Caenorhabditis elegans: one gene and its partners. The protein of the gene in region 3 interacts with the protein of the main gene of each other region in a biochemical or structural test. Each region holds a gene or a part of one and is shown on either strand. Other genes may lie near its edges. The genes, in order: dsh-1, dlg-1 and gst-22.

The links.
Region 1: the proteins of gst-22 (region 3) and dsh-1 form a complex in vitro, tested with the Caenorhabditis elegans proteins (one study listed by BioGRID).
Region 2: the proteins of gst-22 (region 3) and dlg-1 form a complex in vitro, tested with the Caenorhabditis elegans proteins (one study listed by BioGRID).

What each region holds. Positions count from the first base shown.
Region 1 is NC_003280.10:5,212,403-5,225,084, reverse strand, and holds dsh-1 (DiSHevelled related), read left to right. Parts: upstream 1-4,410; coding exon 4,411-5,929; intron 5,930-6,043; coding exon 6,044-6,119; intron 6,120-6,417; exon of another isoform or gene 6,418-6,621; intron 6,622-7,430; coding exon 7,431-7,552; intron 7,553-7,599; coding exon 7,600-7,840; intron 7,841-7,894; coding exon 7,895-8,070; intron 8,071-8,508; coding exon 8,509-8,745; intron 8,746-8,793; coding exon 8,794-8,961; intron 8,962-9,253; coding exon 9,254-9,420; coding exon of another isoform or gene 9,421-9,462; exon of another isoform or gene 9,463-9,965; intron 9,966-10,040; coding exon 10,041-10,153; intron 10,154-10,435; coding exon 10,436-10,562; downstream 10,563-12,682. Other genes in the region: C34F11.1 (RING-type domain-containing protein), read right to left, coding at 11,188-11,332, 11,381-11,641, 11,687-11,779, 11,823-11,939, 12,027-12,091; C34F11.2 (DUF4440 domain-containing protein), read right to left, coding at 12,348-12,556, 12,609-12,682.
Region 2 is NC_003284.9:5,478,167-5,490,279, forward strand, and holds dlg-1 (Disks large homolog 1), read left to right. Parts: upstream 1-1,533; 5' UTR 1,534-1,594; coding exon 1,595-1,616; intron 1,617-1,825; exon of another isoform or gene 1,826-1,936; intron 1,937-2,052; exon of another isoform or gene 2,053-2,330; intron 2,331-2,498; coding exon 2,499-2,815; intron 2,816-2,891; coding exon 2,892-3,110; intron 3,111-3,157; coding exon 3,158-3,254; intron 3,255-3,301; coding exon 3,302-3,392; intron 3,393-3,445; coding exon 3,446-3,797; intron 3,798-3,853; coding exon 3,854-4,160; intron 4,161-4,218; coding exon 4,219-4,687; intron 4,688-4,745; coding exon 4,746-5,269; intron 5,270-5,352; coding exon 5,353-5,635; intron 5,636-5,682; coding exon 5,683-5,804; intron 5,805-5,859; coding exon 5,860-5,960; 3' UTR 5,961-6,775; downstream 6,776-12,113. Other genes in the region: C25F6.1 (Condensin-2 complex subunit H2), read left to right, coding at 8,330-8,487, 9,082-9,211, 9,263-9,526; F55D1.1 (uncharacterized protein), read left to right, coding at 11,672-11,947. UniProt on the Caenorhabditis elegans protein: Essential multidomain scaffolding protein required for normal development. Recruits channels, receptors and signaling molecules to discrete plasma membrane domains in polarized cells. Required for proper embryonic elongation.
Region 3 is NC_003283.11:16,225,694-16,233,791, forward strand, and holds gst-22 (glutathione transferase), read right to left. Parts: upstream 6,590-8,098; 5' UTR 6,579-6,589; coding exon 6,419-6,578; intron 5,892-6,418; coding exon 5,395-5,891; 3' UTR 5,339-5,394; downstream 1-5,338. Other genes in the region: F11A5.13 (uncharacterized protein), read right to left, coding at 386-617, 670-913, 967-988; F21H7.2 (Calpain catalytic domain-containing protein), read right to left, coding at 1,461-1,578, 1,626-1,747, 1,796-1,874, 1,925-2,173, 2,221-2,323, 2,469-2,631, 2,678-2,734, 2,782-2,913 and 4 more; F21H7.12 (uncharacterized protein), read left to right, coding at 4,515-4,870, 5,095-5,305; F21H7.3 (Serpentine Receptor, class E (Epsilon)), read right to left, coding at 7,002-7,215, 7,264-7,562.

The DNA of each region.
Region 1 (12,682 bases), on a different chromosome or scaffold from region 3:
AATATGGAAAAAAAATACTATTTTGGCAAAACTTGCAATCTAGGTTAACTAGGTTAAGTCATACTTATTAAATTTTTAAAAATAAAACAAAGTAAAACTTTTTAAAAGTTTATTTAAACTTACTCAAAGTGGCCCAAAAACCATAATAATTAAGTTCCAAATGATGAGAATTTTTGAAAAAATGTTCGGTTGAAATTTTGGTCATTTAGCAAAAGTAGTATTTACGACAAATAATTTTAAAACATTTATTGGTCGGCTCACAAAATTATGAATGTTAACTTTCCTTATTTATTGGGAAGTTTTTTGAAACAAAATTTTCCAATCAATAAATAAATTTAATGTCTAGTTAGCAATGTTGTCTGGATCTTTGCCTTATTAAAATCTTACAAACTAGTAATTTTTTGTACCTGATTATAATAGGAGTTTTATCTAAATCAGAAAATAGATCATTCTAGCAAACTTAAATTTTTTCAAAACAGCAATTAATTAAATTCTACGTTCATTATACAATTTTCGAAAATTTTCAGGTATATTGCCATATCGACGATGAAACGGATCCATACATGTTAGAGGTTCATGTACCACCTGATCTTATCACTTTAGGAGACTTGAAACGAGTATTGATGAGAACAAATTTCAAATATTATAGAAAAGCATTGGACCCCGATTCTGGATAGTAAGTTCTATTTTAAATTATGAAAAAAAAAACATTTTAAATTAAAAATTTCAGCGAAGTAAAAGCCGAAATTCGTGACGACTCACAAAGGCTCACTCCCTCACCAAATAACCTTTTTGAGCTCTTTCTTTTGACAATTGAAGGATCAACTCATTCGGATGGAAGTAGTGGGAAGATGCGAAAATATCCTTCAGTACCTGGACCGGCGCCTTCAAATCGAAATGGACCACCTATGAATTATCAACATGCTGCTTATCAATTTGATAATTCCAGTGAGTTTTTTCAATCGAAAAATGTTAGAGAGAAGCTCAGAAAATATTCGATAAAATTATTTATAAAAAATGATAATAAATCATAGAAAAATTTAAAAAAAAACTGGCAAGTCAAGTTTGATCGGCGCCCAGAAAAATCCAACATGAAAATCTTTGGCTTGCCAGAAATTTGATTTTTTTTTAATTTCAAAAAATTATGTCAGAAAATATATGAAATTCGGACTTGGCAACTCTCTAGGAAATAAGAACTGTATCGGAATTAATTGGCTCCAAATAATCTAGGAATTTCTTTGGGGCCCAGTAGAAAAAATTTAGCGGAAAACTTTAGCGGAACCCCCAATGACAAAAGAAATTAAAAATTCAATTCATCTAGTAAAATTGTCTTCATACCCTCAAGTCATAAACCTCCAGATGTCTGTTTAATTCTCATTTTATTTCCCTCCCTATGGTCCCCGTGATCCAGTTTCTGGGTCTATTTTGTTTCTTTTTCAAAGAACTATAACTATTGTTGATACATTCAACGCAACCTGAATTTCAGTGATGAGCACCGATTCGGAATCAATGATCTCGGCAGCAATTCCTGGATACTTGAAGAGTGCTGCCTATAATCGACGGTTTCCACAACATTATTTGGGTTAGTTTCTTTTTTGTTTTTTGGAAAACGGGTATATACTCGATTTCAAAAAAAAAACACTTTAAATAGTTCTGCACAATAATCTGTGGGCCTCTCATGCAATCACAAAAGTGCCTAATTACACGTATAGCCAGTTGTCAAGGCTAGTGAGCATTTTTGTGAATGCTTAGATGGCTCAAGGCTTTGTATGGTAAAAAAACAAACATTAGCTTTTGGGGTAATTGAGAAACGGGAAACACGATGAACTTGGTCCCAAGTGTTTCAGAAAAAATTGGAAGAAAAACCTCGTCTCAAAAAGTTCTTAAGAAAGTTCTCGCAAACTTTTACATTGTGTCAGTGAACCCAATAAAACTTCCCCTCATAAAATCTTGATCACATCATTTCAACACTTTCACCCCATCATGTCCTTCCGTTGATTTTCATGTTTTATGTTGGTGTTAATGAGCCGATCTCCCAGATCACTTCTCATAGATCATAAAGAAATGAGAGAGCACAGAGAAAGGACCAATTGTTTCAATTCTATCTTCTGGGCTCATCTTGTTGGCTGGCTGCCAGTCAACCAACCAACACACATTTCAATGAGTGGAGATCTCCTCCTTCTTTGCTTTCATTCAATGTTTATACATACATTTCATTTCATTTCAATTTAATCACACACACACACATACATATCGATGATTTCCCCAGTGTGATTACGTGGAATTAAAATCACATAATTGTGGTTATTACCTGGTAGCTGGGTGTATAAATCAATTGAAATTCTCCCTTTTGTGTACAACTTCTTTTCAAAGTATTTTAGTTCATTGTGTTTTTCTGAAAATTTAATCTGAGGAGCATATTCTCAAATTCTATAAAATTCGTATTTTATAATCTGTTTTAATTTTCCTCCAAATTAGAAATTCATCCAAACTCTCTTTTGTTGAAAATTAAAAAAAAAGTATTTTGTTACTTTTGAAACAAATAGATTATTATTTTCAGGATATCTAGTTGCATTGAAAGGCTACCCAGCTGTTTTATTTCAAAAATTTTTGTTCTGAAATATCTGACAATGACATCTGAAAATGGTAAATTGCGAACAAGTCACAGCTAGTTTAGTTTAGCTTCGACATTAGAGAATAAAAAATTATTAACCAGATACCAAAAATATCTCTTTGCGACCTTAAGAACTGTAGTGTACGGTAGAATTTGTAAGCATTGTTAATTGGAAAAATATGTTCTTTGACATCCAATTCTCGATCTTTTGTAACATTAGTCCTTGAACTTCTCTGTTAGGGGGTCAACCGGGCTCCTTGCTTGCTCCACCACTTTTTGTGAGAAACCGTTCTCTATATCTCTGTGCTCGACGTCAGTGGGAATGAAAACCCGAAGACCGATGAGTTTATCACAGTGTTTATCAAGATGCTTTCCTTCTGTCTCTCTCTCCACTTGAACACTCTTCTCGAGACCTCATACCACTTCACCCCACTTTTAGTTAGTTTTTTTTGTCCGCTCACTTGTCGATTTCTGTGTATGTTTCTACTTGTCACTATTATCGTTTTTGTGTCGAAATAGTCTCTAGTACCCACCCCAGGATCTCATAATATTGCTCTCATTCTCGTTAACACGAAAATAGATATCTGCCTTATAATAGTGAGATCTGTGGTTTTATTTACTTTCGGATATCCCTCACTTGTGATTTCTATCATGATACCTATCGGGATTTTGGGGAGAAAAGACAGTTTGATAATGATCTTTTCTATGCTTTATCCGCTTTTCCTGCCTCCGATCAATGTTTGCTAGCCCATGTGTGTAGGTGGATTCAAACATTTGATTTTATACTTCGTCATCATCAAGAGCCATTGCAACATGTTTCAGTGAGATCAATTTGCAACTCTTTGTTCAACTAGTCATGATGAAAAATTTTCGATCAATATTCTTTAAGCAACTGCCATTTAATCTGACCATAGCAAATTGTGTTTTCCTCTGGATCTCTGCGGTGTTTGACTGTGAGCCATAAGTCAAGTTGCAATTTGTTGATATAAATAACTGATAGTGAGCTCTTGGTTTTAGTTGTCATGTGCCATTTTCCAGCCCACCAGTTGAAGAAATTTGTTAGTTGAGAAATGGTAACACTTATTCTGAAGCTCTTTTGCGAAACGGGGAAAATCTTATTAATTGATAGCCACATAGTTTCGACCGAAACGTATTGAACTATAATTTTAATTTTATTAGATGTATCAGTGAATGTTAACGATTAATTAAATAAAAGTTAAATGAAAGCAAACATTTGTCTTTCAAAATAACATCGAGATTTAAGCGTATAAAAACTTGAGTTTTTTTTAAATTTTTCTACTGTTATGGCTTGAATCTTAACAAACTCATAGACCAATTATATTATATTAAAATTATAATATCTCAATCTTTGCATTTCTCATTATATAGGAATTTATCAATTTTAGATGTCACTATCATAGTCGAGTCAATTGAGATTTAACATGACATATGTCAAGTCCGATTAAAGTTTAACGACAGTGTTTATGGTGTCAACAGGATTATTTTGAGTACCAACTTTCCCGATGTGTCGACTATTAAATTCTCAGTTTCTCTCTAAATTCCCAGCACATGATAAAAGTAAAACGAAAGTATCTGTTTCTAATCCAAGTGCATCATGAGCCACAAGATGGGATGCTGGGAAATTTATGACCCCCCATCGAGGTGTGTTTCTCGTTTCTTTCTCTTCTTTTTATTACCTTCAAGCTTTTTTATTACTTCCCAGCTCTATTACTATCAAAAACTTAAAACCGATTTTCTAGAGAACGACACGATTGCTCATAGCTCACTAGCGAGCAATGAGTATCAAGCTTGGAGCTCGAGATAGAGCCCTTCCATCTCCTTCTGGCTCCTCAAATACCCCATCCACTTCATCTGATATGATTCGCTCATTATTATTCACTTCAAAAGAACGAAAAGTCCGTTCGACATACACGGCTCCTCCACCAAATCGACAACACTCGCCGGGAGTTGTATCACAATTGATTAACAAGATTGAGTTGAAAACGTCACCTACAAATACATCGTCAAGACCAAAAAAGAAGAAAAAGGCTCCACCACTTGCTAAGATTGATGATCTTGATTTGGTTGATGATGAGAAAACTATCGTCTCGGAAGTTGTAAAAAGTCCAAGAAGGAAGAAATATACAGGAAATCCATTAGGAAATTTGAAAATTCTGAACAACATTCTCCCTTCCTCCAAAGCTTCTGATGATAAGGAAAATTCAGGAAGCCAGCAGCAACCAAGTACGGGGAAAAAGTTGAAGAAGAGCAGAAGTAAAAGTCGTGTGGAGCCGGAGTCTGAGGCACCATTTCGATTAAAACGGACTTTAACTGATCTCACAAATAATCATACACCTGCCGGATCCACATGGCGACAGATGGTCTCAAATGCGCTCGGTGGTCCACTTAAAAAACGGCTCAGCGAGGGGGCTCTCCTGTTTCCCGGCACCAGCAAAGCATCAGATGATTGTAACGACGAAGAGGGGGATAATACTAAGACGACAACGAAGCGCAGATTTTTACAACGACGGAAACAAAGCGAAAAAAGTGCAGGAGGCGCCAACGGAAAAGAGTCCGGTGGTGGTTCCGCCTCTTCATCGTTTTTTGGAGCTCTTATCAGATTGTCCCACTCGGCTGCAAGTTTAACGTCTTTAACTTCACTTGGTGGTTCAAAATCTCGGTCTGCATCTCCATCACCATCAAGTTCTCGATCTAATACTAAAGAATTCAAAGAGAATCTGAGCCCACCTCAGCCACCACCACCGGATCTCATTGCACCAGCTGCAGCATTAGCCAGACCAACTTTTTCCCTTGCGGCTCCTGATTCCCCTGTTTCACTTGCTCCGCCATCTAGGGAGCTCAGAAAATCCAAAACGTGTCAAATAACCACCGATCGTCCACCTATTATTCCTAGTATTACTATATCTGAAAGTCGAAGTTTGAACCGAATCGATAGGTGTCGGCCGGTCACTGTAGATGGAAGTGGTCTATCATCTGATTGCCGACCTCTTGTTTCACGAAGAAGCACAATGAGCCGTACAATGTCACTGATTCCAACTAGTCCATCGCTTCCGCCACTTTATGAGGAAGAAACAGCAAGTACAGCGGCAATGGTGGAAGAGGAGAGAGCGGATCGAGCACAGAAGCGCAGAATGCGAAGGTACGGCGGATCAAATACAACAAGTACTTATCAAGGAAGGAAAGATGTTGCACCGGATGCTTCGCCGAGAAGACATCTTATTGGATTTCTACATAGGACGTCACATCTATCCTTAACCTCTGAACTTAGTGCAGATGCATCGTTTTATTTGATCGGTAGGTAAATGATGGCGAAAAATGATGTGATCAAGTAAAGGGTAATAGGTTCAAAAAACAAAATCTTATGAAAATTTGAAAAAGCATCGAATTCTAAGTTTTCTTAAATTCCAGGGCACCGACGACATCTCGAAGAATCAACAATTGGCTCCGAATCCGATGCAAGAGTATTTTCAGATGATGATGATAGGTATGTTTTTTTTTTTAATTTTATAAACATAGGTTTCATTTCATTGAATTTTTATGTAAAGCCAGTACTCTGGTGACAGTGTTCCTTTCAAAATTTAGTGTATTTTATTCGGCAAATTTTTATTTATAAAAAATTAAAGCAAAAGTTTAAGTTATAATAGGGCTACATTCAGGTCTTGCAGGGCTATCTCAAGGAATATGCAACATTGAAAAAAATTTACATTCAAAATATAACAACTCATAAAAACAAAACCAAGTTTACGAATAGGCAATACCCCTTTGAAATTTTAAATTTTAAATATTTTCAAAAATTCGATGGTTTTCATTTTGCCTCTCAAATAGTTAATACCTTTTTTTGTGTCTTCTCTGTCTGTCACATAAAGTGACAAATGACTAGGCTTAAAGCGGGCCTTCATCCCCGCTCACTCTGCCCCCAATGATTTCGCCCTTCCGCTCCTCAAATAGTGAAATGAGCGGCTACATAACTGACGATGATTTCGCAAGCTCTGATGGTAAAGCCTATTATTCAACAACTTCCACTTCAACTTCTGATTATTACTATGCAATTGGAACAGCTCCGCCGAGCAGCACGGGTGCCACAACTCGCGACGTGTCAGTTCATTTATTCTGCGATAAGACACAGCTCGTTAAATTTGAGCAATTCCTGCTTGGCGCTTATCTTCTAGCTAAAGCCTGGTAGTGACTATCACAACAAGCTCTTAGTGTTGTGCACTATTTGAAGGAAACTAATAAAAATTGGGGAGGGGAAGAAAAGGACGTGAGAACGGGTGGAAAGAGATGGATGAGAAGTGGATAATTGCTTTCGATAAATCTTTCAGTTCTTTTCGGATTTTGTGGAACAAACTTCTAGGTTGTAACTTTAAGGAATTTGAACATTTTGTTTTGTGCAGTGCTCCGCTTATATTTAGAATTTCACGGAACACAATTCTCATTAGTTTTCCTTTTTTAGCTAGTGAAAACCATGTAAAATTTTAGTTGATAACGTTCAAAGTTACTCACGAGTTGCAAAAATCACTGAAAACCACAGTAAGATTTTCAAAAAATTATGAAATTTTTATTTACAGTCCAAAATGGAAATTAACCAGTTTTCGCTTATCATAAATTAATAATTCGATTTTAAAAAATTTCTACAGTTTTTTTTTAAATTTTAAAATCATTTGTATTTATTTTGTGGGGCATCGAATATGCAAAGCTTCTTTAAGTTTCTCAATAAGACTCAATTTTCAAAAGTTGGACTGAAAATTCTGAAAAATCTATAACAATTTCAACTATAAAACGTTCAATTTTTCAGAGGCTCTACAACAACCGATTTCACATCAGTATCCCGACAACATGAAAAAATGGCAAAGAAAAAGAAGAATAAAAGAAATTTCCGAAAACCCTCTAGAGCATCTTCGTTTTCAAGTATCACAGGTATGACCTCTTCGAAATTAGCATAACTTTTACCATTCGAATTCCAGAGTCCTCTATGAGCCTTGATGTAATAACAGTGAACCTCAATATGGATACAGTCAATTTCCTTGGCATTTCAATTGTTGGTCAAACTTCTAATTGTGGTGATAATGGAATCTACGTAGCAAATATCATGAAGGGAGGTGCAGTGGCATTGGATGGAAGAATTGAAGCTGGTGATATGATTTTACAAGTCAATGAGACCAGCTTTGAGAATTTCACTAACGATCAAGCTGTTGATGTGTTACGGTAAAAATTATTATTTTTTACTGAGAGCTTATTCTTCAACATATGAATTTTCAGAGAAGCTGTTAGCCGTCGTGGCCCCATCAAATTAACTGTGGCGAAAAGTTTTGAAAATGGGCAAAGTTGTTTCACAATACCAAGGAATAGCAGAGAAGAGCCTGTGAGACCAATCGATACTCAAGCATGGATCCAGCATACGAATGCAATGAGAGGAATGCCAAGTATAGTTGAAGGTATGGTTTTTTGATTGGAAGTGTAGAAAAACTAAACAAAATACCTGCCTGTTATTTGATTGATCTTTTTATTTTTTGCAAAATTATAAGCTGCACTCTCAACCTATTCAACTTCAGGCTGAAATTTATTCAGTGCATTTCTTCGCTACTTTCAAGTTGATGTTTTTCAGACTTCTGATGTTTTAGGATATTTTAAAGTAGAACAACATTTGGAAAGCTTTTTGGAATTTTCAATTTTTTTTTGAAACAAAAATAAAAATATGAAATTTTTCACATCTCTAATTTTGAAGGCTGAATGTAAAATTAAGTCAAACCTTTTTTCTGCACCAAAATTTTGAAAACAGGTAGGCAGGCAGGAAGACAGCCTCGATGTTGTTTTTTGTTCTTCTTCTACGTTATTCTCCTACAAATATCTATTAATTAAAAAATTTTTTCCAGAAAGTGCACCGACACCAATTCCTGGTGAATGGCCTCATGGTCGACCGCCAAGCAGCTCAACGGTGACCTCAAACGGATCAAATGGTCAAAATACAGTAGTCGGCGGCGGAGCTCATATTATTCTTGATATACACACTGACAAAAAGAAGGTTGTCGAAATAATGGCTATGCCTGGCTCTGGTCTTGATATCAAAAATCGAACATGGCTCAAAATTCCGATTCCCATGTCGTTCTTGGGTAAGTTTTGAATGAACGTGTAGAGCCTATTCTAATTCTCAATTTTAGGATCTGATCTGGTCGAATGGCTTTTGGATCATGTTGAAGGGCTTCGAGAACGGAAGACAGCACGAAACTTTGCGGCGGATTTACTGAAATTAAAGTATATTGCACATGTGGTGAACAAGGTCACATTCACTGAGCAGTGCTATTATGTCCTTGGAGATGAGTGTTCAGGTAGGAAAGTATACATTTATTCGGAAAATGTCAAAGTTTTTGTATATGAAGATGGAAGTGGGTCTTTTGAAATCTTTAATGCAATTTTTTTGAACTGAAATGTTAAAAATTTGTTTTAAAAAATTATTTTTTTCAAATTATATTTTTAAAACAAATTTTTCACTGATGCACAAAAATGTCTGCCTGTAATCTCCATAGGAATGCAAAAAAGTTGGTTGCATTCAAGGCTGCCCTGCCTGATTCAAAACATGAAATTCAACCCTTCTTGTTATATCTTCTAAATTACTTCCAGACTATGCCCGATTCCGAAATGAAGATGGTGGACCCAAATACCAATGGACCATCGGAATGAACGGAATGTCTGCTGGCAACGGAAGCTCTGTGATGCTCCCACCCCCACATTTACCTGGAGGTATGGCTGGCCCTCCTGGAGCTTTTAAAGGGATGGCTCCGTCAATGGTAAGCGACGGCGAATCGCGCATGTATGTAATGCACATTTAGAATGTCATCATTTTTCTTCATGTTTATGTTTCATTATGTCTGGTAATCAATGCCAAAATGGCATAATTCAAAATAGTTTCTCTCACAGTACACCATGTACCCGGTATTACAATAAGTTCTAATTTAATATTTTGTAACTTCTAAGTCTCCAATCATGAATCAAAATTTCATATGTTCCCGGTGATTGTAATTTTGGATGTTTTTCCTTTATTTGATTATTCTATTTTTGAATCTGTCCGTCGATTTTTTGTTGCATTTCCTTCTCAAATTCACACGAATTGCGATCTTCTTCACGAGTTCCCCACATCCTTGTCTGAAATAGATGCACCCTATACTAAGAAAAAAAACGTCTTGTTTTCTATTGCATTTGCCCTAAAATTATTGTTTATATTCGATATCATTGTTATTTTCTCGCCCCCTCATTTCTCAGTAGCATGTAAATGTATCAGTCCAATGTTGCCACCCACAAGAATGACAGAATAATAAATAATATTCTGAATCAAAAGAATGTTGTTATATTTCACACCACACGAACATTGCAAAGTGAGAAATATATTATTTGAAAAATATATAAACAGGTAAGTGGATATGCATCAATGCCGGCTTCACCATTCCCACCAGCTCAATTGCAGCAACAGAGAAGAGAAGGAAGTACAACCAGTGGAAGTAGTGGCGGTGGAATTAGAAAACAGTGAGTTTTTCCACTATAAACATACAAAGAAATTTTTGTATTTTGTAAAGATATATAGCTTTTTTAAACATTTTCAAGAAAAAAATAAAATTCAAAACCACACCAAAAGAACTTGTTTCTTAAGTTGGAAAAAAGTGAAAAGTGTGAGGCACTGGAAATTTAAAAACTTTCGTCTGAATTTCTCTGACTTCAAAAGTTCCAATTTTATATAACACGGTAGACTCTAACATTTTTGACATAGTTTTTCGAAATAACTCCCAATATAATTTTAAAATATTTCAGACGAGTTGTTGTTCTTCCCAGAAAACCATCATCGTCTGCAAATGTTCCATTTGATGATAGTTCTACAATCTATGAAGAATCAAATAATTCATTTCTTATGGCAACTGGACAAAGATACGAGTATTAACTGTTAATATTAATTCAATGTTTTGGTGCTTACTTTTTGAGCTGTATAAAAACTGTTATTTATTCAAGATTTTTGCTTATCCGCCGCCTTCTTAATTCTTGTCGCGAAGGCGGTTCAGTGGAATGCTTATTTATAAACTTCATTTATTAACAATACTTTATTTATATATTATCATTAGCAAATGGAGTTCACTTGAGTAAATTCAAAACTGATGTTTCTTCCACAATTTCCTCCTTATATAGACATCGGATATGACTTTTCACGTAAAGGTAGCAAAGGTTGTTCCACGGTGTTATTGGCAGTTCAATTGCATCCTTTTGATCCTAGAGTTCCTGTGTGAAAGGGTTTCCTTTGTTGTTGTAGACGTTTGGCCATGTTGGAGTTGCTTGCAGGGTGGTTCCTTAAGACGTGTCGCCGCTCGGTGGAGTGAGTCGAGTGCCATAAGCCGGTGATATAGTCCTTTTATATTCTAAACAGAAGTTAGTCGAGAATAGGAGAGGTTCATTCTGTCCGTATTTGCGACAAGTCTTACTAAACCCCATGGAAGGCTACGCGTAAAATTATAATCCTGTACAATTAAAAAAAAACTTCAGTAACAATAATTTATTGTATTCATGACATAAGTCTATGGACGGTTTTGCTTCTGCCTTTTCAGAACTTCAAGAGTTGAAATTTTGACAACATCTGGGTTGTCTCTGTGCAGTTTCCATTCAAATCGACATAGTGGGCACGCCTTCGATGCAGACGTATCAAACCATTTTTTCACACATCTGGAAACTGCCTAATTATAACATCTTCAATATCTCATATTAACTCACTTTTTACAGCCAATGACTTTGAGGCATTTAGGACATCCTCTCGGATCAACGGGCTTCTCAAAGCAAATGGTGCATTCCGAAGTTTGTAGAGCACTTCCTCGGTGACGTTGATATGGTGCAAATGAAGTTGATGCCGAAGTATTGGTGAATGGTGGATGACGAGTTGCCGTCGAAGTTGTTGTAGCACTCCGTGACACCGGCCAGATACGAATATGTGAGGAACCGCCTTGTGCCACTGGAAGAGCTCGCCATGAGCCTGATCTAAAATGTTGTGTTTTTTATATTTTAAGGCGTAATTAAGATAACCTTAGAACTAGAGCTGGTACCCGTGCATTCTCGGTTGACGGATGTGTGGTAGCCTGAGCTACTGGCTGCTCTGTGGAAGCCAACGGAGCAGATCTGAAACCAAACATCATATTCATCTTTCGAATCAAACGTGTACCTTGATGGCTCCAGCTGCCGTCGGTGGTGTCGAATGGGCCCCAACACGAACTCACGTTCAACGTCCTGTGCGTACCGCGAGTCATCGCGAACTTGTTGGAAACGAGCAAACTCAGCTCTGTAAAAATTGAATTAAATTTTGAATACTTTCTTCAAATGAACAAGTTCTGAGATTTAGGCGATTTGATTGAAACAAAAAACTTACAATTGAGCGTTCACATCGATTTCAGTTAAATTGATACTGACTTCTATATTCAAGTTTGTCGACATCTTTGCAAGTTGACTGATAAAAATTAGGAATGAATGAAATAAAGAAACTTGGAAGTCATTTTGCTTTTTCTCTTACTTTTGTTTTTTCAAAGAAAAGCCCGTGGAAATTATATTGATAATTTGTTCTTTTACTTTCATTATTCATTTATTGTTTAAAAAATTCTAGCAATTTTCCCTCGAGAGAAATGAGAACGAACACGGAAAACGAAGCCAGTATTTTATTGATTTTAGGCCATTCGACAACATTTATTGAAGATCAAGGGCAATTTGTAATTTTTCCCGATTGAAGTCTCCATGGACTGTCCTTCTCCTCACGCGAAATAACGAGATCCACAATATTCTCTCGAGGTCCGTCTTGATGTGAAGCTGTGAAGCTGATTTTTGAATCATTTCCATTGAAACTCGAGCATTTCGGAATCAACGGCTCGGGATTCGGAGTGGCCAAATGTTTTTCGACAAACGGGGCTGAAAGTATGCATATTAACTTTCAGATATTCCAGGGTCGAAAAACACGTACCTTTATTAACAGTATAACCGCATCCGAAAAACTGAAAATCATGCGTGAAGCAGTCAGAAAGTTTGTCGCGGGAT
Region 2 (12,113 bases), on a different chromosome or scaffold from region 3:
TTCGCCTCGCCACAACTTTTTTGGCGCATTTGTTCCCGGCATGTTTTTGGTACAATAGACGACGTTCGCTATCTTCTTCCCGCATGTCGTGACTAATGTCCCGTTGGCTTGTACATGTTGAATATAATTTCACACACACACACACACACACACACAGCGTGACGCATAAGTTAGTGTTGTTTTTTCTATGCTGGCCGGGTCTGTTCCACTTCTCATCTTGACCATTTATGTTTCGACACTGTGATTTGTTTCAAGTCGACTTGTTCCTGTTTTTTGTTCAGTTCTTTGGAAATCAAGTGGCTATTGAAATATATTTTTTGTGAACTCAAATTTGCAGACGTGTCTGTGACCATTAATTTCAAACTATACAATTTTATGGCATTATTTTCTAATAAAACCCCCATTTTGTTTAGATAAAATTGTTAGTGTTCTAATGAAACATACATTTTAGAGCGAAGATAATTTTAACTATTTAACTTAAAGAGACGTGATGGGGTGGTAACAATTTAAAATTTCTGGCTTGTATATATTTTTGGCATCTGTGATAAAGACAAATTGTAGGAATATGTTAATTTAAATAAACTTAATCCAAAATTTTTGGATTTATTTTTCAGGACTCATTATGAAACCTTCCAGGGAGCCAAAACCCTCCGAACTTAATCTCCTTTATTTAAATTCAGAATTTTACAAAATATCCAAAGATAAAAATACCTAATAATAGTTTACTAATTTTTGAATTAGATGACAACCTTTCAAAACAATCGACTCCCCGCTCCTCCTACCAGGTCCCTCTCCGATGGTGCGGTTTGTCGCCTCGCGTCTATAATAAAACCACCGGCGGAGGTGGTTGGTGTCCAATAAACGTTGAAGACCCCCACCGTTTATACCCAAACGCCCTTCTTTTTTACCTCTTCTTCTACTCAAGCATATCTATCAGATCTCTCACACACAGTCTTCCCTTCTGGTAGATACTAATCTAGAGTAAGATGCGACCCGCCCGGAGGAAGACGAGAGGAATATTTATATTTTTCCCCCTCATCCAACCTACTGAATCATACCAATAGTTGGTGGGAATTGCCGAACAAAAAATAAACATATCCATGACTCGACACAAGTGAAATGCGAAACCTAGCGTCTTCCATCTTCTATGTACGGGATATCCTTCTATTTTTCTATCCACGATGGATTATGATTTATGAATCTTCCTAGATTTTTCAAAAAATTTCATTTACTCCTTCCCCTGCTCGTTTTGCTCTGCATCTTGTTTCTATTATTTACATCAAGTTCGCTAAAACAAACTCAATGGCGGCCTGCTTGTGTGTATGTGTGTGTGTGTGTGCGTGTGTTTGCCGTAAATTCTTGTTTCTTTCTGATAAGTTATGTCTTATCGCCGCACAGTTTTTCCTTTTCGTCTTCAATGCCTCCTTCTTACCGAGCTCTGTTTTTAGATTATTAGAAGCATTAAAACCAGTCGTCTATTTCTATTTTCAGTCTCAAAAACTTGTTGATCAATTTAATTTTTTCAATTTTCAGCGACCAGCATCGAAAGAAAACCGATCGGAGTGGGAAGAACGCCTCACCGAAGGAAGGAAGCATGTCCCACGAGTCATCGGAAAGTGAGTTCTAGACATTTAAGTTTCAAACTGTTTCTATTTTGCAAAACGTTCAATGTCCACTAATCTCAATTGTTTGCCACAGTTTTCTCCTAACCAATTATCACCGAACCCATTTCCTACGGTCGCCGTGGTCGTTAAACTCAATGTCACAATGACCAGAATTAGCCAAGGCAACACACCAACTTATGTACATTCTTGCGTTTTCTACGCTCCCCCTTTCCCTGCCTTCTTATGACTTCAATGCGATGATCGCATCTCAACAGTCTTCTTATCACCTCGAAACTGCCAAATACGGCCACCCCGCCTCATGAGGTATTGTGGTGTTGACACTTACACATTTCGATACACATACACATATACGTAATAATTTTGCTATATACGTTTTCGAAAAGTTCACACTACTCGGAGCCTCCTCCTCCTCCCCGCCAGGTGAATGCTTTCTGGCGCGCATGATGGTGAGGATGCGTCTCTGAATGTGCAAACATTATATTTGTATAAGAAGGCGAAGAAGACGCAGTGGGAGGAATAGAAGGCAAAAAGAAAGAGGGCAAAGAGAAAACAATCTGTTTGTGATGGTGTGTGTACGTGTCCGACAGTCCAACCAGGAGTCTCCCCTTTATTCATCGGAGACATCTTTCCGGGGCCAGTCTTGTACATTCCGAAGGGAAAGGGGAGAAAGGAGGGAAAACGAGGGAGATTGCGCATCCTCGCAGGGTGACTCATCGTTATTTGCCGGGATGGGAAAGAAAGCGCATGATAACCTTTTTTGTTGACCATGTTTTGCCGCAAAATGAGTCATCAACCTAGACTTGTTACACTTTGCGACTTGGGATGTGCATAATCCTACAACAATTATAACTGAACATGAAACTGTATTTTCAGAAGCGCATAAAGCGATAGAAAATGTGGAGGACTACTGCCAGACACTGACAAGACACGGCAATGAGGAGCTACGCACAAACCTGGAACGAGTTATCACCACATTCAAATCAAACCTGATGCATTCGTTGCTCGACATTCACGATCTGTACGAGCAGACGCTGCTCAGCGAGCGAAAATCAGATGCAGAGAAAAATATGGAAGTAAGGCGTGTGATTGAGCGACTCGAAGGTGGACCACACTCCTACAACAGTCGTCCGGCTGCGACGACTTCCACGTCGAACTACAACCTTTCAAGCACAACTCCACTTATTTCAGATGTAAGCTCTGCTTTCTTTTTTTCTCTGGATTTGGATTCTAGATTTTTTTAATACTTTATAAAAAAAATTATTTTAGCTGAGAGATCGGGGAGGTTTCTCGTATTTGAACGGCGGAGGCCTTGGAAACGGGCTTGGGAATGGACTTGGAAACGGACTTCTGTCTTCTCCGTACAACTCATCCAGCACTCACTACCTTCATGAGCGTCAACGTCAGACCAGTCATGATGGAACATGGCGGGAAACAACCACAAGAACAGTTGACACTCCAAGTGGTCTTGAAAGACGTGTGGTTGAAGTAAGATAATTTTGGCTCAATATTAGTTTTAATTATCATATATTCAGCATACTGGAGTTATCGATGATCATGGTCGTAAATGGGAGCTTGAGAATATTGTCTTGGAGAAAGGTCACACCGGCCTTGGATTCTCGATTACTGGAGGTATGCGCGTTCAACCGGTATTTATGATGTAACATATCTGATTATAGGTATGGACCAACCAACAGAAGACGGAGATACTTCTATCTATGTCACCAATATTATTGAAGGAGGTGCCGCACTTGCTGATGGGCGTATGAGGTAAAAAACCGCAATTTAAGATGAACAGAACTTTATGGTCATGTTTTTTTTAGAAAGAATGATATTATCACTGCAGTCAACAATACAAACTGTGAAAATGTGAAGCATGAGGTTGCAGTCAACGCATTGAAAAGCTCCGGAAACGTTGTTTCGTTGAGTTTGAAACGGCGTAAAGATGAAGCCTTTCTTCCAATTGGAGGAAACTTTGGCGGGTCGACTTCTTACCTCAGATCAGGAGTCACTCCATCAGTGAGCGCCGGCAACTTGCAACACGCAATTCATTCTCCATCGGCTCCGATTCATCCACCACCGCCACCACCAGTTCATCACGGATCATTGAGCCAATTATCTGTTGGCCAATATCGTTCCACACGACCGAATACATCCGTCATTGATCTGGTTAAGGTTGGCGACATTTTCTCTTTCCAAAGTACAAAAGAATCTATGTGAACTTTTTTTAGGGAGCACGTGGACTTGGTTTCTCTATTGCTGGTGGTCAAGGAAACGAGCACGTTAAAGGAGATACCGATATCTATGTGACGAAAATCATTGAGGAGGGAGCAGCTGAATTAGACGGAAGATTAAGAGTCGGAGATAAGATTCTTGAAGTTGATCATCACTCTTTGATTAACACGACTCATGAAAATGCGGTCAATGTTCTCAAAAACACTGGAAATCGTGTTCGACTTCTTATTCAGCAAGGAACTGGGGCAATTTTCAATGACTCGGCGAGCCAACAATTCATGCCAACTACCCCAATTCTCAGACGTAAGACAATCCCAAGAATCAAAAATAATAATATAGTTTCTAATTAATTTCATTTCAGCTAGCTCCGTTCAAGACTACAACCGCTCTCAAATGGGATCTCAAAGTCATTTGTCTTACGGAGGACCACTGAACACCAGCTACAGTTCACAAGCCCCCATCGCAATTCCACTCGAACCCCGTCCAGTACAACTTGTAAAGGGCCAAAATGGACTTGGATTCAACATTGTTGGCGGAGAAGACAATGAGCCCATCTACATCAGTTTTGTTCTCCCAGGAGGTGTTGCTGATCTTAGTGGAAACGTGAAGACTGGAGACGTTCTTCTTGAAGTGAACGGAGTTGTTTTGAGAAATGCAACCCATAAGGAAGCAGCTGAAGCATTGAGAAACGCTGGAAATCCCGTTTATCTCACTCTTCAGTACAGACCACAAGAGTATCAAATTTTTGAGTCCAAAATTGAGAAGCTGAGAAACGACGTGATTGCTCAATCTAGAATGGGAACTTTGAGCAGAAAGTCTGAATATGTTAGGTAAGAAGATTTGTTTACTTATAAATGTATACATATATCAACGAATAACATCTTTCAGAGCACTTTTCGATTATGATCCATCACGTGAAAACTCTGTTGCTCCCCATAGATCAATGGGATTTAACTATGGTGACATCCTACATATCATCAACTCATCTGACGATGAATGGTGGACAGCTAGAAAAGTTCACGAAAACGGAGAAGAAACAGCTGAAGGAGTGATTCCATCAAAGAAACGTGTCGAGAAGAGAGAACGACTTCGTCGGAAGCAAGTCAACTTCAACTCGGGATCGCAGTCTCTTGGAAGAAACTCGAGCACTACTGGATTGGAAAACCGAAGAGGAAGCCGCAGTCAGCTTTCCTTCTCCAGAAAGTTCCCATTCGTCAAAAGTACCGACCGGCTCAACGATCTTAATGAGGAATCCTCAAATGTAGCTGAAGAGCCAGTGTGGTCCTACCAGGCAGTTGAGCAACAGGCGATCAACTACGTTCGTCCAGTGATCATTCTTGGAGCTCTCAAAGACCGAATCAACGATGAACTTGTCAACCGCGACCCTTCGAAATTCAGTAGCTGCGTTCCACGTAAGTTGTGAAGTTATTAACTACTTTAAAAAAGAGAACATTTCTAAATAGTATGTGCAATATACTCATAATACCCTTTTCAGACACTTCCCGACCACCACGCGAGGGAGAGGTTAACGGACGTGACTACTACTTTGTCAACAAGCACAATATGGAGGAAGATGTCAAGAATAATCTCTTCATTGAAGCGGGACAATTCCAAAACAATCTCTACGGAACTAGCATTCAAAGCGTCCGAGATGTCGCCAACCAAGGAAGACACTGTATTCTGGACGTCAGTGGAAATGCTATCCGACGACTTCAAAGCAATGCCAATATTCAACCAATCTCGATCTTCATCAAGCCCAGCTCTGCACAACAGATTCTGTAAGTTAAATTGTAAAAAGAAGCTTTATCAATCTGCAAAATTTCAGTGAATTGGACAGCCAACTTGCCACCAACCGACAAGACGATCGAGCGATGAGTGGCGAAGAAGCTCAAGCGCAGTATTCCAGATGTCATAGAATTGAGCAAACTTTCGGGGATTTGTTCACGCGTATGTCTTTTTTCCAACCATTATTATCAAATATCTGATTTTTTATTTATTTCAGAAGAAATCTCAAATGTGCACAGCGCGAATGACGTTTTGAGCAAAGTGTACTCCATCATCAGCCGTGAATCGCAGACGCCAATTTGGGTGCCACGTCATTAGATGAAATTGGATATTTTTTAGACAAATAATCGTTTCTTCAAGAAATATGTCTTCTTGAAATTAATTAATATACAGTTTAATTTACCTTAATAATTAGACTACGCCGTGTTGTGATACTTTTTTTTAATCTGAGAAAAGTGATCCTTTGAAAAAACTCTTGATGTCATTTGCTTTATCCTGTTTCCATCCCCATCTTTATTTGTATTTTGTTTAGTACCCCTTCCCTATTATGCATTAATTTACATGACCTTTCCAAGTTCTCAATTCAAGAAACTCTACTACTCGAACTCAGAAACGTGAAAGGCCAATATTTCAATAGTTTTCTGATTCTTTTTTTCTTTTACCTTGCTCATTATTTTCATTTTCAATCATAACTCTCCACAATCACTGCCAGAAAACGGTGAATCGTTTCTACTTTTGTCTCCGAATATTTTACTACGATAGTTTGTACTGCCTGTTTTCTCTACAGCCCATTTTATCTTGAAATTCACCTTACAAATACTTGCATTTTATAATCCGCCCCAGCTTTCCTTCCTTCTTCCCTCTCCTTCCTCCCCCAACTCAATTCACTTCTTACTTGAAATTGTGACAGTTTGTGATATTCTCAACGCTTCATTTGTCTCTACTAACCGCAAATCATTATCATATTCCCGACTCTCTACTGATGAAAAACTTCGGCTCATTTCTATTTTTTGGGACTTTTATTACTCTGAGAGCATTTTATTTTCATCCATTGGTTCCAAACTTTTTTTTTTTAATTATTTTTAAAAACTTTTTATACAAATTATCTTGAATAAAGATTTTATTGCATCTGCAAAACATACATGTGTTGAAGTAACAAGAAAAAACTTTATTTTCAGTATATCAGGGTGTTCTGAAAATGACTGCGGCAATTTGTCATTAAAAATATTCATTTTATTAGATCGCTGGAAAAATTCCGAAACAAAAGGATTTGAAGTACTCTTCAGAATCCGTTTCGAAATGTGCTTCCGTAGCGCAGTAGGCAGCGCGTCAGTCTCATAATCTGAAGGTCGTGAGTTCGAGCCTCACCGGGAGCAATCTTTTTTGCCTAATATATTTCTTCGACTGAAATATTGTTCCTGATATTTTATTAGTCTTTCAATTAACGAAAAAAACATGTATTTTAAACGCAAAATAAGATTAGAATGATTTTAAAATATCAATAATATTTTAATTACTGACTATGAGTTAAATTTGAGATTTTTCAACTAGACTATTTACAGTTGTGATATTTTCAAATCCCTGTCCCACTTGGGATCTCAGTTTTTGCATCCTTTCTCAAGTCCTTTGTGAAGAGTTCACAACGTGCTTCCGTAGCGCAGTAGGCAGCGCGTCAGTCTCATAATCTGAAGGTCGTGAGTTCGAGCCTCACCGGGAGCAATTTTTTTTTTGAAGTTTTCCCAAGTAGCATAAGTTGCCATGAAGAAAACTGTAATTTTAATTTAATTTTTAATTTAACTGTTTAAATTCATTTTTTAATTTGAGTCAAAGCTAGCAATTTATTTTATCTCACATTTTGTTAATTTGAAACACAGACTGGCTCGAATTTAAGAACATTTTTTTATTCTTTTGATCCTACTTTGCAGACGTTGTTCAGTGCTTCCGTAGCGCAGTAGGCAGCGCGTCAGTCTCATAATCTGAAGGTCGTGAGTTCGAGCCTCACCGGGAGCAATCTTTTTTATTTTATTGATATCTTGATTTTAAATTTATGAATGTTTATAATTGTAGAATAGTTCCTCATTTTCTCATTTTTAATTTATTTTTACATAGCAAAGTTACTTGTTTTACTCTTTTCTGCCTCATTAAATGTGTTTCATTGTTTTTATGTTCACGCTTTAATTTTTCTGTAACAATAGTATGATATCGCTTACGGTTTAAATAACTTTAAAAGATTTCAGTTCTACCATAGTACCATTGAGATAAAATAAAGGGTAAAATAATTGAGCTAGGTCATGTCAGTGACCCCCTTTCATGCAATTTTTCGTGTGCGCGCACAAAACGCGTCAATAGGATGGTTGACGTCTTTTCCGTGTGAACGTGCGTGCTTTATGAACGTATTAAAGTTTATCGGATATTCTTAACTAGTTTCTCACAAATTTGTTTGCATTCCCAACTTGTATGACGGTTCTTTATTTTTTATTATTCGTTTTTTTTTTTTTGGAAAATGAGACAGTTAATTTTATTCTATTGTAATGTTTGTTTACTGGTTTACTAACTGAATTTCTTAGTGAAAATAATGTTTAATAAAAAGTTAAAATGAATAATGAATATCTCAAAATAATATAGTAGTTGTGTATATCTTCTTTGAATTCGTAAATACCTTCAAAAACAAATTTCCCAGATCAACCATGGCAAAAATGAAAATGACACAAGAGGAACTAGTGCAAGCATTTAATCAATACATGCCAAAACGACCGGTTTATCCTCCACTGGTTCACGATGATGACGTGCTCGCACATTCCGCCACAGAGTCGGAAGGAAGTGACGAAGAAGAGGATGATTTGACGTAATGTTTTATTTAGCTCATAATCCTTTAATAATAATTGTTCTGAACGTTCAAGAAATTTTCTAATTCCAAAATAACCAGTATGTGGAAGTATGTCCAAAATTGTGGTCCAAAAATGTGATATTAAATTTTCACTCTGTTAAAAATATTTGAACAAAAATTTATATGCGGTTGCAGGGAAAAAACAAAAATGTTTTTAAATAAAAAAAACTTTGGAAATGTTATATCCAAAAGGATGTTATAATAATACTTCAAACATTTTTAGGCTTCACAATGTGTTCAGTTAAAGTTTTTTAAACCAAAATTCTAAAAAAGGCTTCTTGAACAAGCTTTAAATGGCTCCCATCAAAAAATTAGTGGGATAAGAGCAGTTTTAACCAGAAAACGTTCATTGTATTATTTCACCAAGGCTAGACAGAAATTTTAAATTTTATTTGAAAACTTTGAAAAAGAAAATTTTAACTGTCATTTTTTGACCAAGTTTACATTCTTTAGTTGAAAAACGAAAAAAGAGGTGTTTTCCCAGAAATTTTTTCTAAACCATTTTGTATTGGAACTTGCCTACTTACACTAAAACAAACTTTATATTTTCAGAAAGCGATTGAAAGTGACTTTGGCATTTTCAACAGACATGATGTCAGAATGCCGCACAGCCTGGGAAGACTCAACTTGTAAACCACCGATTCAGTATCTCGAGGACAATATTCAAAAAGATGTTGAATATGTATGGTTAAAATATCATAAATAAAATACCATATCATTTTTCGATTTTCAGATACTCGAGAAACTGGTCAATCTGAAAATCAAGCCCAACAATCCAATTGAATGGCTTGGATACTGTCTTTTGAACATGAACATCAATGATCCTCGAAAATCAAAAGATCACAAAAATAAACCATCGGAATTGTTGCGAGACTTTAAAATCGAAGCGCTTGTCAATATGGTATGGAATATGGAGGAAGGTGGCTCAGGAAGCATTTCTACTTTGCACAAGCAGGCACCTAGTCCAACAGCTGGAAAACGAAGGAATCCTTCTTGATTTTGTAACGAAAATTAACAATTCACAAATAGGTGTCTAAAACTATACCCCATCAACTTGTTATGAACAAGAATTCCAGAAATTATCATTTTCGTTTTTTTTTGTTGTAAAATCTGAACATAACCATTCTTTCACAATCATTCACTTTTTATACTTTTTTCTTGTCCCGTGCATTACTCGCATCAAAATTCCTAGTCATCTTGAACTTTTGGAATTTATGTCCAGATTCCATTCCAAGTCTGGTGCATGTGCTTGGTTTTTTCCCCAAATTTTCATTTTGTGACCGTTTCCACAAACTGGTTATCTTTGCAACTTGCAAATCCGCCATTCCTCTGTGCATTGCACTCTTCTGTGCATAAATATGTGTATCTATTTATCAATTTGAATAATGAACTTTTCCAGAAATTGTTACAGAAATTCCTGAAATATGTTTGAAATGGCAAGGCATTGTAATTGATTAAAGGCACAGTATCATCTGTGAGTTTTTAGTCTATTTAAACAAAATATTTACTAACTCTACTCTCCTAACTTATGTAAAATGTGAAAAATTAAAATTTATAAGACTTTTTAATGATGGAGTAGCGCTAGTGGGAAAAGTGTTTGAAACTACTATGATGCCAAATGACCAAACATATCAGTAAAACTTTAAAGTAAATTTTAAAAAATTATTATTTACTGTCAAAAAATAACAATTACTCAGTTTTGGCAACTCATAATTTTGGAAGTCGACCAAAAAATTTTTTTTTCAATAATTTTTATACTTCAAATTTCTTTGATTGTTTGTGTTTAAATATTCTAGGGGCCGGAACATGAAATTACTCTGGATTTCTTTAAAAGCTCATTTATTTCAAAAAGTTGCCATCATGCCAAAATTTTGACTGAAAAAAGAGTGTTTTATTATGATATTTGGCCGGTTTGGATTGTTATCAGTGTATTTAGAAAAAAGTGTATTTAGAAAAAAAATTTCCACTGGCGCTCCTCCACCTTTAAACTGAGAGTTTTTTGACTGGGAAACTATTTTCTGAAAATATTGAAAATTCAGATCAAAAATTACAAAAAATAAATTACGCATGAGGTGACAAGTATGAGTGTAAACTGACTTCCTTTTTGTTTATATGCGAGGATGCGAAATCTTTTTTTTTTCAGGTAGCTCTTGTTGAAAAAAAACTTAACGATGTTAATTTGAAAAGTGAAATCACGGTTTGGTTAATGAGTGTCTTCCTCCGCTGCTACCTGTCGGGAAAAGAAGAAAGACCGATAACCTACGATTCTTCAGGATCGCCCAGAGAAGTCATCGATGACCGTGCCTTGATGCTTATCGTGCTCCAAAGGCGCTGTCGCTTTCACTTGACTCTTATAGCGTCCTCGTTTTTCATTCTACCTGCACTTTCACCTCATGCGCGCCGCCTCGGATGTTAGGTTTTAGATTTTTCCAGATAGCCACGGTCTCACTCTCTGACAAAAGTGCACGGAGGTCGGGGAAGGTTTGCACGGAGAGGTAAATGAAAGGAAAACTGCGGCGGCGGGGAGAAAATTAGTGAAATTGAATGGGACTGACGAGTACGACAAATGCGGAGAAGTGCACTTTGAGAACATAAGATCGGAAATGTTTTAAATTATGAAATTGAATTTTTTTGAACTCAAAGATAAGTGTGTTTACCAAAATCGACATAGCTTCACGACCAGTTTTGTTAAAGACTCATTTTCACAGTCATTTTTTGATAAATTTAGATTTCGAAATTTTCAAATTAAGAAATTTAGCTTACTTGGAAAACAAACTTCTTTTTTTTTGAACCGCTTTGAAATGCACCTCACAATTTCATTTTCATGTTGAGATTTTCAGAAAATTTTCAGATCGATTTTTTTCCCAGTTGAAAATTCTCATCTGCCGCTGAATTTTGTGTAGAGATCAAATAAAAGAGTCCTATTTAAAATGATTGGGTGGTTCAAGTGATGCCGTGTAATGTTGCGAAATGTATTGAAATATCTTTTATGACGTCAAAACATGTATTTCAATACAATTTGTGATGTCATAAAATGTATATGAATACATTTCGCGACGTTACTTGAATAATCCTATAACATAGATTTTTTTCAAAAACCTAAACTGAAGTTGAAATAATTTCCTTGTCAGTTGATTGCCATATGCCTATTGAAAATTTCGCAGCATTGCCATTGTATGTTACTTTTGTTGAAAGATTTAATAAGGGCCTTAAATCGTGCCTGAATGTGCCAGACTGCCAGATTGCCAAAAAGGTGTCAAAAATGGCAACTACGGCAGTTCACGTTGAATTTTCGACAGGAAACCGTTACATTTTCAAATCAAATATTTTATTACCTTCCAATTTTGATTTTTCATTAAAAAATTCGATGGCAGTTTCGATGGTTCTACAGTCCGTGACTGAAAAAAACTATGACTAAAAATGGCCGGTCTGGGGTTTTTTTGCGATTTGTAATCAATTCTACCTGAAACATTTTTTGTACGTTATTCATATATTCTTCCCTATTTGACTAAACACTACATTTTAAGACAAAATGCACTTTGAACATTGCATGGTTATACATTTCACTACGCCTCATAAATCGT
Region 3 (8,098 bases):
CTCGGGGACTGGGCCGAGCCCGGCAGCAGTGCAACGCCAGTACGACCCGCGGAAAGTCGGAGCAAGCCCCGAGTCTTTCCTAGGATCCAAAAATCATATAACCTTTATTACACTCATTCGAGTGTATACCGTAGGTTAATACGATAAGAACAGATACTACACTTTGATCTTAGCTAATAAGCCGAAGAAGCGATACTGAATGGATGAGGCGGCAGGGCTAGTCGGGAGCTGTGTACCGACAAATCAGGGGCGCGCGTGTGTCACTATGAAATGACAGAGGTGTGGGGAGAAGGTGGAGGCGCAGACAGAGACTGGTTGCCAGGCGTACATGAATTTATAAAACAAAAAATGAAATTTAAAAAAAAACAATTACAAAACAAAAAATTCAAACTTGAGCATCTGGGAAGTCTTCTGGCACCTCTTGAATTACATCCAACTCCAAATACATTTTAATTCGTGCCAGGCAGACTTTAACCAAACATTTTGTAAAAATACAAATGTACACACTTATGATTACTAGGCTTAATGCAAAACCGAATTTAAATATTTCCGGAACATTTGGAAGATCACCTTTTGCATTCAATACAATCAACTTGGCCGTCACTAAACAAATTGTGCTGAAAAAGTTAAAAATAATATTTAAAAAATTTGCGGAAGCTTAAAACTTACAAAGAAACTAATCCAACTCTCATTACAGCTCCAAAAGCTAGCAGCACCAGTGATCTCTGATCTTTATCCATTTCCAGTTTCCAAAAAATAACCTGATCGGATATTGTAAGGCAGGCTAGAATAATCATCCAGTATGGCACAAAAGTCTTATCAAATTCGTCCTTGTCCAAAATATTAATGAAACCGAGAATTATTAAAAGTAGAGAGGCAATAAGCAAAATAATCGATGATATAAAGCGATTAACTGAAAATTATAGAATTTTAAAATAGGTAATCAAAATTGAGAAATAAACTTACTACGATGGCACCAAGAACTCATTTTCTAAAAGTCAATGCAATATAATACAAGGTTACCAATTTAGGTAGTTTAAATCCTATTCTTATCAATTTACTATTCCTCATGTTTGAAATGACTCATCAATTGCAATTGCTTGATCGGAAGTCATGTCAATTGCCAGATTCACTTTTTTCTTCATGAAAAGTGTTAAAAACTTTGTAGTAGTGTTTCCATGCAGGCGCCAAAACGACTGCCGTGCCTGCCTTGCTGCGACCTCCACCTGCCTCGCAAGAACCATTAGGTGTCAGAACCTGAAACCGCACCTGTCTTTCGTGAAAGTCTTTATTCACTTTGTAGTTGAAGTTTCACAAAATATAGATTGTCAACACAGCTGACAAAAAGCCAAGTTTCGTTAAGTCTTTTTTTAATGCTTAATTCCTAAAAGGCGCCATGTAATGTCTTGCATAATTATTCAAAATCTGATTTTCCAAAACTTCAAAACCTTCATTCTACATCATTCAACGGTAGCAGAGCTATTACTTGGCGACGACTTCTTCTTTTTCATTTTCTGACCTTTCGGTGTGGGTTGGAAAGTCACAGTTGTGACTTTTTGAGCCTCTGATTGAACTCTCCTGAAAATAATTTTTGTAAGTTTATTAATGGCTAAAAGAATGCAAACCTTTTGTAAACAGTAGTCGTTGTCGGAAGCTTGAAAGACACAGGTTTGGTAGATTTCGGGTCTGGTCGGTCCTTAGCATCAGTTGGGAGTGGGTTTAAGTTGTATAACGTGTTGGTCCAGATCTTCAAAAAGCATTTGGTAGTTTTTTGGAAACTTTAAAAAAAACTTACTCTTTTATAATCCGAAAAGAACTCTTTATCTTTGGCACAAATTGCCTGCAAATCTTCAGAATACGGATTCAAATCTTCTCTGGAAAGTAAATACACCTGAGTTTCATTTAAAAATGTACAAAAACTAACGGCGCATCAGTCTGTCTTTCCAAAAACTTAAGTTTTCCACTGGTACATAGATCAACCGCGTCCTTTACGGTGATAACTTTGGCCGGTGGTGGCTTTCCATTATTACTCATCCAAAACGGGCGGCCTCCCGGAAACAGTTTCTCCGGATGACTTTTATCATCTTTGTTGGTGGGCATTGTTTTTGGCGCATAGTCACATGGGAGGCCGTAAACAGCTGTTATTTCAGGCTTGATGTTGGCTTGCTCCGGTCTGAAAATCTTGTTTTTTTTTTCATTGAAATCCCAATTCTGTCTTACGCAATAATAGAATCATCTCCGTTAAGGGTACTTGATTCGATGTTCGGATTCTTTCCCACATATTTCTGTTTCGCTTTCGAGATCCATGATTTCAGGAGTCCTTCTGAAAATTTATTTTTATGTCCTAATACTAGACACTTAGGTAGGCAGATAGGCATGCCGTGACAAGAAGGCAGGCAGGCGTGCAGAGAGCGCCTGCCGGCAGTAGCTACCAACAGCATGCAAGTACAAAATACTAAAGATCATACCCGTTGCATCTTTGCTAGGTGCCTTGTTCTTATCCTTAGCTGGAGGAGGCTGTGGTAGAGTTGTAGCAATGTTTTGAAGAGGCACGTAGTTCTTTCCAGTAGGAACTTGAGGGGTTGTAGCCACTGGAGTAGCGTTTTCAGGTTTGGCGGCTGCACTTCTTCTCTGGAAACAAAGAGCTATCTGATGAAAATTCAATTCGAAGACTCACCACACTTCCTTGTTGCCGTTTCTGCCTGTTGCTCTGTCCAGTTTTGGTTTTCTGGCGCTGGAAATTTGATGAAAACTCTAAAAATTTCAGCTTTATGTACTTACAGCACTTCCCCTGTCAGTTTTCTGTAGTTTTTCCTTTTTGACTTTTGACGGTCCTTTTGCATCTTTTGCCTTGTTATCGTCCTTTTCCAGTGTTTTGATCCTTTCCTTCTTTTCCTTCTTCTTGTTCTTTTTCTTTAAAAAAAGCTATATTAATAAATATTGTTCATCACGTCATTAACCTTGTCATCGTCATCATCTTCCACGAATTGCCCGACCGCATTGTTTGGGTCATCCTTCTTATCCTCGTCATCACTGATGAAAACAGCCACAGCGGTTCCAGTGTCCTTTTTTGCCGGTTTCTTTGCCTTTTTCTTTTTCTTTTGTTGCTGCAAATGTAAATAAATAGATTATAGGTATTTCGGCAAGTCAAAGGTTTCTGAAACTAACCTGATCAGCCTTATCTGCATCATTCGATGGAACCTCTTGTAGCTGACTTCCTCCACCCTCTTGTTGCTGACCAGCCTCCACGACAACTGCTTCACCCTGGAAATTAATTGTTTCAGTATCATCGTGAACAGAGTTTTTGCTCGGGTCTGTTTACTAGAGTTTTCATAGCAGGTAGGCCTGTGAAACCTGCTAAATCAGACCGCTTCAAGCTGACTTTATCCTCAATTGAGCAGTCTGACGGGACTTCAAAAGCTTGTTGTTAGCACCATATAGTGTTATAGGTGATTCTTCCGAAACGGCAGATTCGGGTTCCGCGCTGCACTATACAGGCGAGGCAGCAGGCGTTTCGGCGCCTACTATCGCGACTGCTTGAAAGTAAGTTTATAAAATTACTAACCGGAGCTTCATTAATCTCCGTCTCCAAAGTCTTGGAAACTACCGGTGCTTCAACTATTGCAGACTGTGCGGCCGGAACCTGCTCCACAGGTGTCTGTGGTGTATGTGCAAGTTCAGCTGGAACGGCGGATTCCTCAGTTTTCGGAAACTTTGGCTTCAATTCAATTGGAAGCGGAGCGGCCACGTTCTTCGGGGGTCCAGCTCCACGACGCACCGGTGCACATTTCTCTTCGACAAAACTGAAAACTTATAGTCTTGCGCGGGATCTATGGATGAAAACAAAACTCACTCATTGTTTCCTCTGTTGTTCATTGTGCTTCACTGTTTACCAGTTTACACTGAAATTTCCGAGAAGTTTGATGAAAAACGGGAAATTGCGCAATACCTCTTATAATAACAATTATCGATTGATTTGTAGAAAATTGTGAAATAATTGTAAAACTGATGTGGGGGGAGAAGGGATGGTGAAGGGTAAAAAAGTGTATTGGATTATGGGAACAGTTCACGCTTTTAAAAATAATCTTTCGTAGTCTTTGTATTTCAATGAGGGGGGGGATCACGTAGGAATAATTTTGTTTGGAAATTTGCTCTTCTAATAAGTTCATTTTTTCTTTGTTGATAAAACCATATTTTTATTATAACTACAAGTTTGGATTAAAGTTCATAAAATTATTAAAAAAAGGCATAGTTAATTAAATCAACACTTTCATCTAGACATTTTCGTAAAAAATTTTAGTGTTACGGTCTATGATTCAGTTTCAAATGAAATGTAGAGTAGCGAGTAGTTAAAAGAAAAGAAAATCAAAACAAAACAGAAATGATGATGTGATAAGATCACAAGAAAACGATAATAAGGCAAATAACACAAAATTGATTTAAACTTGTTTTTTTTTTCGTTGCTATCACCTGTTTACGTACCTATGTCTCTCAATTTTTGTTAATTTCAGAATATGATTGAGCCAAATGAACATGTTTCCAAAAAAAGTGCAGTTTGTTTTCTCACTGCATCAATTATAATCTCCGCTATTATCCCATTATTTTTTATAATTATTGGAACATTTAACATATTCTCTTGTTCTTCACCAATACTCCCTCTGTGGCTGATCGGAATTGCTATTTTGATAATTATCGAGAGAGTGGTATCTTGGAGGATTTTGATAAGCGAAACTCAATTTGAAAATGAAAATCCCATTCCGAAAACTGACGACTTGAAGCAGATAAAGTCCTGGGAGAAGAGTCGAATGGAAAATACTTCGAAGTGGTTGATTCTCGGGAAGAATAACTTGAGAATTTTGATGTTTGTTGGGTAAGTTTTTGAAGCATTCAGGAACAAACTTGTGTGCCTGCCTACTCGCCTACTTAGCGCCTAAAAACATGTGATATTTTATGGTTTCGTACATTTACATTTCGCAGCGCCCGACAATATTCGGGTTCGACGCCGTACAATTTTCAAAGCGCAGTTTCAATTTGCTAAGAGCAGGCGATAGGCAGGCAAATAGGCGAGCCAAATTCTTTTGTTTTTTTTTTCAGAATAATCTGCGGCACCCTCGAAAGTTACGACAGACTCATACATTCCGACTATCAATGCAGCATAATTGTTCCAATTTCTGTTTTTGTTTTTAGCATTGTTACTTGCATTGTTTACCTATTCTCAATTGTTGGGTCAATTTATATTTGGTGTGTCTCTGGCTTGACTAAGCTTGACCGCTGGACAAAATCATCACTACATCAGGTTTTGTAAAGTGAAACGCAAATAAATATACAGAACGCAAATAAATTTTTAAAACTATTTTATTGCATCATTATTTTTTCTTTCACAAAAAAAACAATTCACACAAGCGTCACTGGTCTTGTCTCGATGTAATCTTTCAACTCGGTAAGATTAAATATTTTCTCCTGGAATTTTCTCAAAGTTAAATGAATTGGATCTTCTGGATCAAGTTCCTTGAGATTCGTCAGAGTATACAAATGATCAGCCACCACCAGATCTGCCCAAGTCAATCCATCTCCAACAAGGAAACCCGATTTGTTCTCTTTAAGAATTCGAGTCAATATTTTGAACATTAAGTTTTTTGCTGGAATGTAAACTTTGTCATGAATTTGCTTCACTTCTTCCATTGTTTTTCCAGTTTTCACGGCATCACGGTAGGGATGGAGTGACGCGTAGTACTCATTAAACTGATCAACGATAGAATCAGCAAAAGCCTCGTCTTCCGGTGTTTTTCCAGCGTAGCCAAACTTTCTAGCCAGATAACGATGAATTGCAGAAGATTGAGCAAGATCAAAACCGTCGATGGAAAGAACTGTGAATCGGCCAAATGGGGTCTCTGAAAACAATGTAATTTTTTGATTGTCTGGTTAGCAAAATTCTTTCAGCTAAAATTGTCAAATTGTCAAAAGTTATTTTTAAATTTCAAAAAGTTTCTTGAGTTTCCTGGAAGCTTCTTGAAGTCATCAAAAATTGTCTGAAGGTTCCAAAAATTTCCTCAAATTTCCAAATGTTTTTATTCCAGAATTACCATGACATCTCCTTGAAATCAAAAATTGCATGACTATCCAGAAGTTTTCAGAAAGTGTCAAGAAGTCTCATGAAATTTCAAAAATTTCTAGGAGTTTCTTGAAAACTCCATAAATATCCAGATGATTCTAAAATTATTTTAAGTTTTCAAGAAGTTTCCCGAAATGTTCAGAAAAATCGAGAAAATCACAAAAATTTATCGGTTTTTCCACAACTTTCCAAACCTTTCCTAGCAAAACTTTTTTCTGATTGAATATGAATTTTCCGCCGAAAAGTGGAAGGGCTCATGTTTCTTTAAAGGTGGACTATGCTCAGTGGGCTATTAGTTTGACTCACTGTCTTTCAACGCTGAAAATTCGTCACTTTGAAATCCCGGAACAGCATTGATCGTCGGCAGTCGAACATCCTCATATGGTACCCCACCAAGATGGAATAACATTCGTGCTGACTCTCCAAACCCACAAGCATCAAAGTAAGTCAGTTTGTAAGAGGGCATATTTTATTTGTGAAGTTAGTTGAATCAATAAAGAATTTATACCTTTACCAACCTTTATCGATGACTCTTATCGCGATTGCAACTTTTCCCCTTATCGCAAAAAACTGCAGAGACAGTTCAAAATGTGGAGGTATTATGTGAATATTAAGAAATCATTGCATGATTCATACCTCTATTAAATGAAATCATGATTTTATTATATTTTATTGGTTTACATATGAAGACTGTACTAATGGGTGATACTGTCTGTACGATCTTCAGAAATTTTTTTATGGATTTTTAGCAGAAAACGAGAGCTGTGATTGAACAAAAAAAACTATTCCTTTTGTTTTTGTTAAAAATTAAGTGTTATTTTTAATTGCTTGTAAAAACAATGTCATGTCGGCAAAACAGATGCATTTTCAAATTATACAATATGTTAAATTATAGAATATAACTATACAACCACATTGTAACTTTTCTATCAAACTTTGCTTTACAATTCATGCAAAATATATAAATAGTCCCTATCAAGGAGACTATATAAGTTATGGAAGCAATAATACAAAATCCGGAAACCGAGAAAAGAACAGAAGATTTGCATAAATAAATCGGTCGGCCGAGTTGTTCATAGCTCCAAATAGCTCCAAGGGCAACCCTGAAACTTTTCTAGTTTTTAGACATTTGTAAATTTGAAATCAATTACGCTATTAACATGACTCCTTCCAACGCATATTTTATTGATATCCACCAAAAATTTTCGAACCAGTTTTTCTTTCTTCCATCTTGCGGAACATCCTCCATGAGTTTCTTCACTTTATTGAATAGAATTTTCCAATAAATAATTCTATCAATAATAATTAAAATACCAACAAAAATAAGCCATAATGGAAGAAGCGGGTTCTCACATTTTCCTTGGTTTTTAAAGCCGATTGATAGGAACCATATTGGAATAATAAGGAAGAATAAGTTCAAAATTACCAAGTAACAAATATGGTGTGTCATGGTCGAAGAGAAAAGTTGAAAATAGGTTGAATTAGTTGTGTCAAATTGTTATCAAATAGAGTGGTATCAATCACTTCCTCAGTCCCTGTGTTCGCGGAACTTTTGAATGAGTGAGAAAGAGAGAGAGAGAAAAGAAGAGAAACCAAATTTTAGTCACAGATTACACTAAAGTAAGAGATGAATAATGTATGTTAAGTGTACTGGCATTGACCTACGGGATTAAACTATCAGGATTTGTAACTTATTCTAACCCATGTCAATGTTCTGAGACTTACATATCTGCCCGCGCTTTCTTCATTTCGAGTCACCAACATCCTATATACCGTGAGAAATACATTCAATATAGTTCAAATGTGAATACAACACTCCAAGAGTTAACATTTTGTTTTAAAGTATTAACTGTTTTACCTTTCTCCTTCGGCACAAAAATCCTGTGAAATCTGGAGACAGCTCAGAAGAACATCGACATAGAAAAAGGCTCTAAGACCCCCGCTCTAGTGAAAGTAGATGGCTTGAGTTCAAGAGACCTAATGGTT